Struthio camelus: one gene and its partner. Each later gene encodes a partner of the first gene's protein in a complex. Links are inferred from orthologs where the notes say so. Each region holds a gene or a part of one and is shown on either strand. Other genes may lie near its edges.

Region 1 (7,242 bases):
AATTTCTTTTCCTGTGCTCAGAAATTTGCTTGGTATCCCAGGGCTTCCAAAACCTGTTGACCCAAAAGACTCACTGACTCGGAGCCTAGTCCAAAGGTCCACATCTGAATGGTTTCCTGACAGGGCTCAGTTGCCTGGATGAGGGGTGTAAGATGAAGCTTATATCAGTTTCTGTCCCGCAGAAGTTTCTCTGCAGCCAAGTTAATGGGCTGTTAGCCTCTGGGTTATTTTGTTTGCTTTTTTGGTAGGCCTCTGCTTTAAACTAATTTCCACGCAGAGCAAATATTCTAGGTTCTGAATACTCAGCATGAGTTTACAAGAGTAAACTCGGTGCCTGAAACATGACAGTATTGCACGCTGTAGTGATTATAGCAAAGTGTTGATTACCCAGTGCTAGCTGCTCGAGGACTGGAGATCATTGGTGTTATTGATCGGAGCAAAAATTCTGGCGTAACAGTACACACTGAAAGGTATGCTTCCTGTCAGAGCCAATGTGAAAGCTAACTGCTATAAAAAACAGTGACTTGAAATGCTGTGAATGTGTAGCAATCAATATGTATAAACCAAAACAAGTAATTGTGGAAATGAAAAACACAGTTCCATTGTTTTGCAAAACAAGCTGTTGCAGGAGCACTGTGAAGTAAGCTCTCCACTGAGCCGATTATTTCTAATGTGTTTTTAAAGTAATTTTTTGTTTGTCAGTAACACGTTTCTTGTCTTAAAATTCCTTCATCCGGTCTGAGATTAAAGTGTTTGCTTAGATGAGCGTTCCCTCACCCCCATCTGTTGCTTGTGCAGCATTCATTAATTCTTGACATAGAGAGCAATCCGGTTTCCTCTTTTATAGAGGTTCACAAATTGGGAAATAAACGGCAAGAGCAACTTTCATTTGCCTTTGCAGTCTTGGGGTGGAGCTTAACTGTGGGTAATAGTATATTTTTCAACGATAGCTAGTCATGAATACCATTGTTGGAGGGTGGAAGAGGGCTTAATGAATGACACTGAAGAAGCAAGCATGTTGTGAGTGTAGGTCTTCAGCAACAAATGTTGGAGCTACAAGTCTAGGCAAGAACAGCTAAATGGAGGAAATATACTGGGACTGATAAATAAAGTGGAGCGAGGTAGAAATAATAGTTATGGTCTCTGGTTATAAACAAGAGGTGTAATGGCTTGTATTATGGCACTGTCTTTTTATCCTCTCAGGTCACCTCAACAAATCTGTTTGTGTGGGATAGACTAGAAAATGGAAGAGTCCAGGTGAAGAAGCTGAATCTCAACTCCTAGCTCCTTGCAAGTGTGGTTGCCATTTAGAGCGATCCTGACAAAGAGTGAAGTAATACTGCTGTGTGGTTTCAGTTACCTTGTAAAGCTAATTCTGAATCTATGTTACAACATGGCAGAGTGAGAAGGTAGTCACCCACAGATTTTTGGAGGAAGTGTAAAGCCGAGTTTCCAACTGCTATAGTCTTATGTGTGTGTGAGAGGAAGGGTACTAGTCCAGGTTCCCAGTCAATTTCCAGCCTGTGTGGTCTAGAGTAGATCTGGAAGTCCTTGGTGGAGGCAGGAATTCCTTTCAACTGCTTTCTGTAACGTGGCAATATATCAGAAGAGAGGCTTGCTCAAGACAGACAATACTGAGGTGAAGCTTCTTTTTCAGTGCTATAAAGCAGACTTGAAACAGGACCTAGATATCTTGAGCCCTAGTCCTGTCCTTTAGATGAAGCAGCCTCAAGAGCAGGCATAGTCCATTCTGGTGATTTGGTCAGCTGTGCTATTCCCCTGTGATACTGTGCATAGTAATTCTTGAGTGCATTGTATACTCCATAGGAATGTTTGATGTGTCAAGCTGCAAAGCATATTGGGAGTCTTTGAGACATTATTATCCCATAAATATAAGATAGTTATAGTAGGATTATGCTTTAAGGCAGAAGGAATCTCAAGATCTTGTGGGAGGTGGAATGAAGGTAGTGGTTCTGTAGTATCTGATAGACTAGCTGCTTGCTTTTCTGTGGGTGAGTGTGAGAGAAGACAGCCTCACCAAAGAAGCTTAAAGGGAGCCAAGGGGTTTAGAGGTAGAAAATGGTGTGCTAGGGGAAAGTTACATAAATGTAACACTTCTGTCACAGTGTGCCCGTGGTATTAATCTGGTTTCAGAAAATTCAGAACATTCTGCCTTGCGGAATGTTCCAAATCAATTGCTTCTGCTGCTGAGATAGCACATTCACTACTGCAGTAGTCTGAAGCATTTTTCTGCCTGTTTTTTGTGTAATAATACAGAAGATGGGTTAAAAACCCTTGAGCAGTTTTATATAGCAGCCTATGCTGTGGTGTAGGTACACACAGATACTGATTTACTGAGTGCTATGAAATGGAAGACCTGAAAAGTCAGCGGATGGTACATGGGCTGCTAAGTCAGATCCTATCTACCTTTGTCCACGGTTACTCAAAATGGGTGTTTTATCAAGGGAGGTTATAGCAGGACCCTTCCCTCAGCTTTTTACGCGGATTCCTGTGCTCTTCCGTTATGCATCTCACACTGGCTGCTGTAGGAGGCAGGGTGCCAAACAAGGCGAGCTTTGATCTGGCCTGATATTCCATTCTTATTTCTGTTCCCAATGGACGCTGCAAAAGCACTACAGCAGTTATTGCCTGGTTCTCAGTCTTGGCACAGATGATGAGCTATAACTGGGGTATGGTGTTGGAGCTATCTTTTCAGTGTGCTGCAACTACTTGTTAGACTGGCAGAGGCAGCAACAGGAAGTATGTTGTTCTTGCTTGGTCTGTACCCGTTGAGAAATTACAATTCCAAGTCTTCTATGCTGTTATGTTTTAAGAGACTAAATTCATTTGGGAAAAAATTAAGGTAAAATGAAAACTACAGGAATTGTAATTCAAACTGGAGGAAAGCTGCAAAATTCAGCTGTGGATTCTGAACTCAAAGTTTCATTTTCATAGCTGTGGTTTTGGTTAAGCCTATCAAAACTTGCATCAGAACTTATTTTTCCTTCCTCACACTGTTGTATTGAGAATAAAATGTCAGTTCAGATCTGGGCAAGTCAACTGCTCTAGAGAGAAAAATGTCTTAGTGATGAGCTTGGAACTGCAGGTTATTTTGCTGATTTACAGTTTGCAGAGATAAAACTATATCCTCGTATGCCAAATGCTAATATAAGGAGCATTGCAGAAAGCTTAGTGTTTATACCTCATTGATCATTCTACTGAACAGAGTAGCAAAGAATAGTAAATAGCTCTGAGCAGACTGAGGGCCGAATGAAGCAACTTTCTGGATTAGGACATTAGATGATAATTCTTCTTTTGGAGTAATCTGCTACTAAGTTACAGGGAAAGAAGTCTGAATATTGAATCCAGATGTAATAATGTATACATAAGCAGTTCTCTCTCTCATCATCCCTGTCTTGTGCAAGATGTCTGGAGTTAGAAGACGGTAATCTCTGTGCATATGTGGATAAGAAGTGTGTCTGACCAAAGTAGGTCAAAAAACGGCCACTGCCAGAAGACTAGCTTTTTCTGGTTGGTTGGTTGATTTTTATTTATTTGTTTGTTTGTTCCAGGAATTCTTTAGTAGCAATTTAGGATGAAGGTTTTGTAATAAAATAAAATAACAAAATAAAAATTCTTCTCTACCCTGGCACATCCTATCTTCTTCTTCAGAAATCTACCAAGAAGTTCTGAGGAAAAAAGCACTGATTGCGTGAGTGTGATGTCCAGATATGTCCTTTCTATCCCATTCCAACAGGAGATTCATGGACACAAAGACAGATACCTAACCCTTTCAGGTTTGGCTAATGATCCTTGGTCTAAAGGGTTAATTGAAAACTTAACTCATCTTATGGTTAAAATAACTCAACAGTCCTTGGTCACTCCTCCGTATGTAAGGGTTAAGCAGATTCAGTTGCTGATGTTCTTTGTGAGCTAAGCTGGTGCAGTATTTTGAACCTTTGCTTCAGAAGAATGACTCATGTTTGCATTCTAGAAAATTACTGTTGGGGGACCAACATGTACAAGTCAGTCTGGAACCTGGAGGCTTCATCTGTAAAGGAGCCCAACTTGATTGGGCTTTTTTTAGATCAGTAGGGCTCAAAGTAGGTCCCCTGGCCACCAGTGGTTCTCCACACGTGCTAATCACGTGGTGGTAGTGGCTCCTCCTCTTTGGCTGCCTCTCACAGGCATTTAGGTTTTTCACTGCAGACCTAGATGCCTGCTGAGGTATCTAGGAAGGAAGACCAGTGAGCTAACCCTCGTAAGGGTTGCTGTAGCTGGAGGACGAGAGAGGACTTGCAAGCCTTCAACAGAAGAGACCTGCTAGTAGGGGAAAAGCATTAATTTCATTACTGGCAGGGACCTGAAGCTACCAGGAGCCATTCAGCCGAGTCCAGTCTCAGCACAAGGCTCAAACACTGCCATGGAGGCCAGAGAACCCCCACCAAGGTGAAGTATTGGCAAAGGAAGAACTGGGGAGTATAGGGCATGGGAAGGATGCAAGTATTGGGCAGGTAGTCAGAGGGAGATGAACAGAGGGCTAATGAGACTGACAGACAAAAGGAAAATGCTTTGGTAAATTTAGGGAGTATTGCATTTGCTGAAGAGCTTGCATCTTGTGAGGTAGCAGGGGGGCTCATACCTGACAAAAGAGGCTGTAGGAGATAGAGCATTCTGTGCTGAAGCCTCAGTAGATATATGGCCATGCAAAATGAAATTGGGACTGTTCTGTACGTTCTTCTTCCCTGGCCACTTTTCTTCTTTGGCCAAACTCCAGTAGATATTATAAACCAAGCTTGCTCTCATTCCCCATGACATTGGCGGCCCGGGTTCTTTTGGCATGTTCCTACACTCTCCTTCTAACAGAAATATTCTGGAAAACAGTGTGCTTGTAGGGGCCTCGTCCAGAGGCTGGCGTCTAAGCTGCTTTCTCCCCTCAGGGTGAGAGCCAATAAGTATCAACTTTCAGAAGTTGATACTTACTGAAGTGCTTCTTAGTTTTAATAGAATTGAAAATTTGCTATCAGGTCGTACTTGGTCTGAAACTTTAAAAAAAAAATTTTTTTTTTCTTCCTGACAGCGTGCCCCCAGTAGTTTTTTTGGCTTTCTTCAAATATCTATCAATGAGGATCTGTTAGTTGCGTTTATTATATCAATGTAATGGCTGCTGTATAAGATATGTCTGTCAAAGTGTAACTTCTGCTTAGCGCAATTATGGGTGTTTTCTTTTCAACTTTAACTTTCTGTAAGTTTGGCGTGACTATTTTCCTATCTGGTTGCATTGGACAAATCAAGAAATGTGTGCATCCTTTCTGAGGAGAAAAGGATGTCACGGATGTTTGCTTATTTGTATTAAGTATTCATTCAGGTTTAAGTTAACAAAATGAGTTGCTTTATGTCTTTTCTCTCTCCTCTTTTTTTTTTTTAAGCTGACTTTTATTGCACCTACTAGTCACTTCTGAATAACTTCATCATTTGTAGGGTAACTATAAAAAATGAGTTTATCTGTGACGTGGCATGCAGTAGGAATAGAACATAATTAACTTAGCCACCATCTCGCTGTATGAATTTACTTGCCTCCTCTAACCTCTTTCAATGAAAGAGAAGAATATGCTTGATTGGAAGTGCAATAGGGCTGAACTCCCTCCTGAGAGAGGAGAGGCAGTATGGAGTGGTGGATGAGGATTCAGGAGACGTGGATCCTAATCCAGGCTCTGAGTCTAACCTCCTGCATGACCTTGAGTAAGTCATAGCACTGTGCTGCTTCCTCCTTCCCCTCTTTCACGTTCTCCGTCTTGTCTATTTAGACTGCAAACTGTTGGAGAATCTGCTACATTCTAAGCATTAGGAAGAAAAATACTTTCTCTGTGAAAGTACGTTTCTCCTCTTTAATCTACCCGTTCATCAAATGACAGTTTGTCTGCAGATAGCAGGCTCCTGGACATGAAAGGTAGCAGTAAGTGGAAAACAAGATCAAGTGGTAGATAAACATACCAAGTTTATATTTTTTTAAATGTAATCTCCAAAGTGTACGTACATGTGCGTGAAATTAGCAGTACATAACCCTGTCAATACTTCACACAATTCTTAGCTACTTCCGACTGAAAGCATGCGAGGGTGAGAAAGGAAAAAAATCTAATGTTCGAGACAGCGTGCCTGTGATTCCCTGTGCCGTTGTCATCTTCCGTGCGCTGTAAACAGTGTTGGTGTCTGAGAAGTTTCTGAATTTCGCTCTACTGTTGACCTAGTGTTCAACTAAGGAGTTAATGAACTTTTCTGGGCTATTCTGCTTGCTGTATGGCCCTTACCATGGTTGTCAGGAGCCAACTGCCTTTTTGCTCTGTCACCCAAACTGTGCTGTATTTGTCTTTCCATGTTGTGTGCATGTATGCCAAGAGCCCCTTCTAGATTTGCTAAATCAGAAGCTTTGAAAAGGACAGTGTTTCCTTCTGCAGCCCCAGAAGAGTGATTATTTGCTGGATGATCTTTTGCATGGAGCACTTCCTCTTGGGCTGTTTTGATGGAATGCTTATGATTCTTTTGTCATAGCCCTTAGGGAGGAAACCTCCTATCTTTTAAAATAAGGATGGGAAACAATTTTTCGTTTCAGTTTTTAAAAAGTTAGCTGCACCTGTAAAAATAGATACCTCATGCTAGAGTCCTATCCAAAGCATTGAAATCGTTAGAAAAAAAATCTCTTAGTTAAGAGCAACTTTGGACCAAGCCTGTAAAGCCAAATTTTTGATCAGGTAATCTTGTTATAAAGTTTGGTTTTAGCAAAGTGTTTTAAGCACCTGACTCTCACCAAAATCTGGGGAGTCAGTGAACGCATTCAAGAAATGTCAGCTTACTAGGCCTAAACCAGAAACATTAAGGACCCAATCCCGTTTGCTTCGAACACTTGGACTTATCTGCCTCTGTGGGTTCTCAGTTGATAGTCTTGAAATGTTAGTGGTATCTGTTAATTTGTGGATGCTTCATCATATGCATGGCAATGGCTTATACCACAGTAGTCCTTTATGTTGGCTTTTCCTTCTCCTCCACTGTTAAGAATTTGATTTTTTTTCTTAAAAAAAAAAAAGAAACAAAATTAAACTTTCACTGTAATCTTTCCTATCTGTAGATTTTTCTGAGTAGTTGAGTACAATTTGAGATTCTATTCTAGTCTTACCTAACTAATATAAATAGTGAAAAAGACTTTGATAAAGTGCTGCTCCGATTTCTGAAACAATACATACACAA
Region 2 (7,084 bases), on another chromosome or scaffold:
AATCAAGTGGGTTATGGCATGCTTTTTGCAAGAGTTCAGCTTATGTGCGTGCTACCTTTCAGTATGTCTTTCTGTATTTTTAGTCGGCCTCACATCGTAAAGGTGTTACTCTGAGTAAGCATATAGGCAACGTACTCTGCTTTGCAAGTGTCTCTGTTCCCAGCAGCGGCTAAAGTCACGTGGGTGCTATACCTGCCAATTCTTCCCGAATCCGCACAAAGCTAAGACAAGCAGGGAAATCCGCTGCAAAAGCCAAACAGTTCAACTTTTGCTTTCTGCTGCAGGCCGGTCTGCTCCTGTAGACATTTTGGGGAAGGCGTAAGGAATGGATTGCAATGAATTAGGCAGGGAAAAAAAAAAAAAAAAGGCACGTCCAGGAGGAGGGAAATGTTTATGTATGTACTCCGTCATGCACCCCTAGCTTCTCCTTCCTTGCTGTCCTGGCTGGCTCTGGCAACGTGACGTTTGCCTGTCAGCGATCCAGCTTCATACCTGAGTTTTGATTGGCGAGCTCCGCGCGATGTTTTCGGAATAGGGAGCCTTCAAACATGTTTTGAGCGTCGAAGATGGCAGCTGAGTGGGTGCGTTTGGTGACAGATGATCCTTGAAAGGTTTAGAAGCCAAGCTATTAAAACCCAGAAGCTGTGCGCGGAGGAAATATTGTGAGTGTATCAGAACCTGTGCGGGCAGAGGAGAAGAAGAAACACTGATGTTTCGTGGGGAAGCCCGTGATTGCCAGTAGCAAGCAAGCCCCGGCGGTGTTTTGGGGTAGAGCTCAAGCCCTCTGTAGGATTTTTTTTTGTTTGGTTTGGTTTGGTTTTTCCAGTCTGCTGCTTACTGACATCGGGGCCGGGTGAGACACAGTATTGCAGTGGTCCGATCAGAAAGAGGCTTTGGGACCTGGAGGAAGTTTGGCTGCTGGCTCCCGTAACAAACTACAAGCCGGCTTCGTGTTGTCGTCCCCGGACCAAGGCCCTTCGTTGCGTTCCTGCCACGCGTCCATGTAAAGCTTTTTTCTTTCCGTACGCTCGATTGAGAAGACAAAGCAGCTGCTCTGAAAACCCGAGTGTTTTGCTGGGAACTTTAAGTTGAAAAGAACGGGATCAGAGGATTTATTTTGATCGGACTGGGGCAGCGGGATCTCCGTGCTGCTGAGACTGCAAGGCGGCCGATACCCCGAAAGCCCTGAAGCGTGAGCCGCACGGGCAGCTGCGGTCCCCCAACCCCACTCGTCTGCTGGTTTCTTCGGAAGAGCAGTAAACAACCAAAACCAGGCAGCCGTCTGCAGCCTTCACAGGACAGGGCTCTGCTGACAGGTTGTAGACCTTTCGGCTTCCTTGGTCTCATCTTGAAGGCTGGCCTTGGATTTACGGCTGCTCACCACAAATCTCCGACTGTCACGTAAAATCTCTCTTTGGCTCTCGGAGGTCTTATGAGACCAGGAGAATGGGCTTTCCACCTGTAAATAAATATTTTCTTTAGCTATCATTAGCCGAGTTCCCGGCCAGTTTTATTTCCCGTAAAGCCAGCGGCAGCAATCTCAGGGATACACTAAAGAGCAGATATGCGAGTTTCTATAACCACTGTGGAGAAATACTTGTAAGAGAGCATCCTAAGCATACGATGCCTCATCAAACACGTCAGCCCTGACAGCCTACGCCTCTGTCAAGCAGCATTTGTGATGTTTTTCTCCGAGTCCTTTCTGATGTTACTGTTGTCTCAGTCCCAGGCTGCGCACCTCTAATAGAAACTAAGTAATACGGCTTTGCTGCCTTAAAATGGAAATGTTCAGAGGATATTTAGTACTTTTGCTCCTAGTGAGTTATGTAAGATGTAAATGGAGGAAATATATAGCACCCCCCACCCAAAAAAAAAAAAAAGTCTGAACTTAAAGCGCGTTGTCAGCCCATGGAAAAGACCACTGAACTTTGAGTTTGTGCCTACCAAATGCATCAAGAAGACTTAAAACTGAAGCATTTTACATAAGCCAAATCTGTTTTTTCACGTGCCCCTTGAAAAATGCAGGAGGTACCAAACACATTGCAGAACCTGCAAAGTCTCATGCAAGATTTATTAGAAGAATCCAGGCCCTTGCAGACAACCGCTTTGAATAGGGGAGTAGTTGTAATTCCTCATCTGTTCGTTGTTTTTTTTTTTTTTTTAATTTTATAAAGACCATCTGCAGGTTGAAAGCTGGAACTCTGGACTCAGCCGAGCGCCAGTGTGTAACAGGAGAAAAACAAAAGCAAAACCCATAAACGCTGTCTCTCATTTCCAACTAATGCCCAAGTTGGAGGTCTGGACAGCCCTGCCAATGGCAGATACAAATGTGCAGCTACCACCCACCTCCAAAAAAAAATGTATCCATCACTACATCCTCCCCAAATCCAACTCCCAGAAAGGGAACGGGAACAGCTGCTTCTGGCGCCTTGGAAACATCCAAGCATGCTGCTCTGGCGGCTGAGCACTGCAAAAGCTCTTGGGGGCACCTACATCTGGCTGGGCGGGGGGGGGGGGGGATTTCTACCCCATCTCCTCCAAACCATACAGTCTTCTCGGGAGACCAAACCCAGCCATACTTTTTGCCCACAGATCCCTCTCTGCGTCCAAGGGGGCCAAGTCCGGGAGCTGTATCTGTCACAGCATACATCATCGTCCTTTTTCTGTGCTAGCAAAAGGCAGGCAAGAAAAAGAAAACAGAGCCATTTGGCACCGAAGGCTCGGCTGATCCGGCTCATTTGTTTTGTTTTGTTATTTTTGTGCCGCAAACCCATAAACAGTATTGCATAGGTAGACCCAAAGTGCCACCGTGGCTTAGCACGTGGAAAGTCCTGGAGCGCGATGCACCGTGCTCGCATTCCTGGAAAATCCTGACGTGTCTGGTGCAGCAGAATCTACTTTACACCTCCATATAGGTATTGGGGCTACACAGAAAGTGCACCCATATTTTAATGTGCTTTTTTAGTGCTATGGGACCCATAAGCACTGCCTCCAGATTTTTTCCAGCGAAGACATACTTGACCGATATTTACCTTAAGACCTGAGGGATTGGAGCCCAAAGCTCAGGCTGAGCAGGAGCCATGCCGTTGCCCGGTGCTGGCTCGTGCTTTCTGTTACAGAAGACAGTGAAAACGGGCTGTAAAGAAATCCTAAGCACGCGATAAGGTGGGCAGGTTCTGTAGGAACAAGTAGCACTTTTGGTTCAAGGAGACGGTGGGACGGGAGAAGAGCAGGGCACAGCCCCGACAGCGGGGCGCGGGATGCTTGGGAGCGCGAGGGGCGATTTTTGCAGCCTTCTCCCAGTGTGGGGACGGGTTCGCCGCCCTCCAGCCGGCGCAGCGTGGGAGCGGAGGGTTTGCAAACGCTGCCCTTGGCCCAGGCCCCTGGCCCCGGGACCTCTGCAGCCGGCTCCTGCTCGCAGCCGAGGGGAGCTTGTGGGCGCCCACGGGGCTGCCCGTGAGCCTCCCCCCCCCCCCCCGCTCCCCGGGGGTTTCAGAGGGAGAAGCCCGGCCGGAGCCCCTAGCAGTGCCGCGGGGAGCCCCCGGCCGGGGGGCGCGCAGCCGCGGGCGGGGAGCGGAGGGCCGCGGGTTCGCGCCCCGCTCGCCCCCCTCGGGGGTGGTGGGGGGGGAGCCGGGCCGTGCGGGGCGTTGGGAGCCGGCGGCCGCCTTTTGGGGAGGGAGGGGGAAAGGAGGGAGCGGCGGCGCGGCGAAAGTGCATGTGCATCCTTGCAGACGCCCCTTCCTCCGTGCCTTCCCTCCCTCCTCCTCCTCCTCCGTGTGTGTGTGGTGTGTGTGTAATGTGTGTGTGTGTGTGTGTGCGTCTCGCTCCCTCTCCAGTCTAGCCTGACGCAGGCAGATCGAAATCACCCCTGAGGAGCCGGGCTGCGGAGCGCGGTGCGGCGGGGGTCCGGCTGCCCCGGGGCGGAGCGGGCCCGGGGCCGGAGGCAGCGCCCCGGCGGCGGCGGCGGCGGCGGGGAAGTTGGCCCAAGTGCGGGGAGGCAGCCGGCGGGGGGGGGGGGGGAAAGTTGCCGGGAGAGGCGAGGGGCGAGCCGGGCAGCGGCGGCAGCGGCCAGGAGCATGGGCACTTTGCGGGATTTACAGTACGCGCTGCAGGAGAAGATCGAGGAGCTGCGGCAGCGGGATGCGCTCATCGACGAGCTGGAGCTGGAGTTGGACCAGAAGGACGAACTGATCCAGAAGCTGCAGAACGAGCTGGACAAGTACCGCTCCGTGATCCGGCCCGCCACGCAGCAGGCGCAGCAGCAAAGCGCCGGCACCTTGCAGGGGGAGCAGAGGACCAAGAGGCAGGCGATTTCAGCCGAGCCCACCGCCTTCGACATCCAGGACCTCAGCCACGTCACCCTGCCCTTCTACCCCAAGAGCCCACAGTAAGCGGCGGGTCGCAGCCCTGCGGGAGCGAGAGCCCCTCTGCCTCTGGGGAGCGGAGCGCCGGCAGAGCCGCTCGGGCGGGCGCTGCCCCCCCCCCCCCGCGGCGTGCGGCATGCCGGAGGGCAGACCCCCCCCTCCCCAAAACCAACCCCTTCCCCTTCCTGGGCAGCCGCATTGCTGCTGCCTTCCCCCCCCCCACCCCGCCCCAACCAAGAGAGTTTTTTTTTGGGGGGGGGGGGGGCAAGTTGTTGCTGCGTTCCCGAGGGTGGGAAAGTTGCGAGGTGTGAGTTGGGGGTGTGTTTGGCTGGTGGGATGTGGGGGGGGGGTCGGGCCAAGCTCGCGAGTGGGTGCTGAGGTGGAGGGGACAACCGCCCCCCCCCCCCGCACCCCAAATCCCCTTCCTTCCCTCGGCGACAAGTTTGCGTCGAGGCAGGCGGGCACCTCGGAGAGTTTTTGGTCGGGGAGGTGGGGGGGGGGGAGGAGGTTGGTTGGGACCGGAGCTTCTGGACTTCGGGAAGGGAAGGGAGGAAGGCGGCGGCCGCCGGGGAGCCTCCCCCGTCCCGTCAAAGGCGAGCGAGGGGGCGGAAAGTCGCGGCCGGGCGGTTGTCCCCCCCCCCCCCCAGTTGAAATCCCTCGCTCGACGTAGTCGCAGGCTGGAAGAGAGGGGCCTCGTCAAGCCCAAACCCGCCTGCTGTTTAGGGCTGGCCGGTTTTTGTGTGTCCCCCCACCCCCTGCTGGGGAACAGGAGGGAAGGAGCCTGCTCGGCTCGGAAAGGGTCCTTCAGAGGAGGGTCCTTCGGTCTGTCCTCCTCGTGTGTCCCTCTGGGGAGCGGGTCGGTGTATGGGACTATATGGGTTTTTTTTTTTCCTTTTTTTTTTTTTTAAATGATATAGTGGCAGGAGTAGCCCAAAAGGGAGGGGGGGGGTTGGTTCGTCAAGAGCCGGCGATGGCGGCTCAATGGCAGGTGCAGGCGGCCTTTGGCTTCGCCCAGGTGCGGCCGAGGCGGAGCGCGCCGCCGCCGCCGCCTCCTCGCCTCAGGCAGGTGCGCGGGCCGCGGCCTGGCCCAACCGCCATGGCGGGTCCCCGCCGTCTCCTAGCAACGGCCGCCTGCTCCTGGGCGGGGGGAGGGGGAGATGGCGGCGGCCTGGCCTGGCCTGGCCTGGCCTGGCCTGGCCTCGCCTCGCCCTCCCCCCCCCCCCAGCCCGAGCTTTCGCCACAGATATTTTGCCCTTTTAAGGCGAATCGCCGCTGCGTTGAGTTTAATAAAGAGCGGCGGGGAGTAGAGGAGCGGGACCCGAGAAGGAGGGGGAAGCGCTTCGCTGGGGGGGGAACGGACGGACGGACGGACGGACGGACGGACGGACGGACAGCCCCCCCGGTGCCCTCTGCGCAGGCAGGGACGCGTGGTCGGGCTGTGTGTGAAGGAGCCTTCAGCAGCTGTGGGCGATGTCCTGTGATGTTTCGGGGCGGGGGGGGACAGCGACACGGCTCAGAGGTGGCAGTTCTTGCGCCTGAGCTGCTAGATGGAGCCGCCGGCTCTCCCCTGGCCTACCGAGACCCTTCGGCTGTAGGCGGACCGAGTCCTGAATCTCTGCTGCCTACCGGAAAACGTACAGGAAACCTGTCAAAGCCTTGAATTAACTTCCCCCCCCCACCCCCCGGCTTCAATCTAACCTCTCATTCCTCAAGTTCCTCCGTTCAGTTTTACTTAGGGATAAGGCAGGCCACTTGCCTGAAGCGGCGTTCAGTATTGACCTCCCGTGGTCGGCGGTACCCATGACATTGTTTTCAGCTCCCGTAACTGCTTTGTGCCGTGATCACTGAGGGAAAAAGGTGACTCGTTTCGCTGCGACAAGTCATGAGGCTGTGCTGGAGCGCAATAGTCCCCTCTTCTCCAGAGCGTTCGCTGCCTTCTGAGATGAGCCGCGTGATGGTGATGAGGAGCGCCCACGCCTGCAGGTGGATGGACGCCCACCGGGCTAGCGCCACGTCTTCTGGACGTAAACTGTCCTCTCAGGTGCTTACCGCAACCTGTAAGTCAGGGCGCTGACGAGCACTTGTAATTTGCGTGTCCAAACGTAACCTGGATTAGCCGGATTTAGCGGTGCGGCAACTGGGAGAGGAAGCACAGGTCGGCTTAAATTGTCGGGATCATGACTGCCCTAAATCATGCCTTTTCCTGTACTTCTCCGCACGAGCCCCAAATATGGCTTATATAGTGCTCCTGTGTGCTTGCAAGGAACCTCTTGTCTTGATTATATTAAAAACGTGGCACAAAGTCTTTAGGCTATTTTGATGTTGTATATAACCATTTATGGCAGCAATAGAGGAAAAGGCAGAGAGGCTCTGGAAGCGTGGGTATATACTCAAAATAAGTTTCAGAGCATACAAGGCTTTATTTGCTGTTGCAGGGCTGGGCCGCTATAATTTTCCCTATAAATTTATCTTGCTGATGTGAAACTGGACTTTGGGCTCGCGTGAGTTTATACCTAAAATATACAGAGGGACACATCTTGCCATTTTCTTCGGGGTTAAAAGACCAGTGAGAGAAGTCAGATATTTGCCTCTACATGAGTCTTTGTATTTGAGTGACTAGGAAGAAGTTGCCTAAAATAAGAGTTGTTCTCCCCACCCTTCCCTACCCCCAGTGGAAATAACTTGCAAGAAGTGAGTGGAGAAAAGACTGGAGAAAGCTG

The links.
Region 2: ITPR1 (region 1) and PRKG1 share a complex: the UniProt entries of both Homo sapiens proteins name them as parts of the cGMP kinase signaling complex. The link is inferred for Struthio camelus from reciprocal best matches to the Homo sapiens genes ITPR1 and PRKG1.

What each region holds. Positions count from the first base shown.
Region 1 is NC_090955.1:2,742,942-2,750,183, reverse strand, and holds the start of ITPR1 (inositol 1,4,5-trisphosphate-gated calcium channel ITPR1), read left to right. Parts: upstream 1-4,229; 5' UTR 4,230-4,423; coding exon 4,424-4,449; intron 4,450-7,242. UniProt on the Homo sapiens protein: Inositol 1,4,5-trisphosphate-gated calcium channel that, upon inositol 1,4,5-trisphosphate binding, mediates calcium release from the endoplasmic reticulum (ER).
Region 2 is NC_090948.1:42,921,876-42,928,959, reverse strand, and holds the start of PRKG1 (cGMP-dependent protein kinase 1), read left to right. Parts: upstream 1-4,012; 5' UTR 4,013-4,076; coding exon 4,077-4,387; intron 4,388-4,654; exon of another isoform or gene 4,655-4,669; intron 4,670-7,084. UniProt on the Homo sapiens protein: Serine/threonine protein kinase that acts as a key mediator of the nitric oxide (NO)/cGMP signaling pathway. GMP binding activates PRKG1, which phosphorylates serines and threonines on many cellular proteins.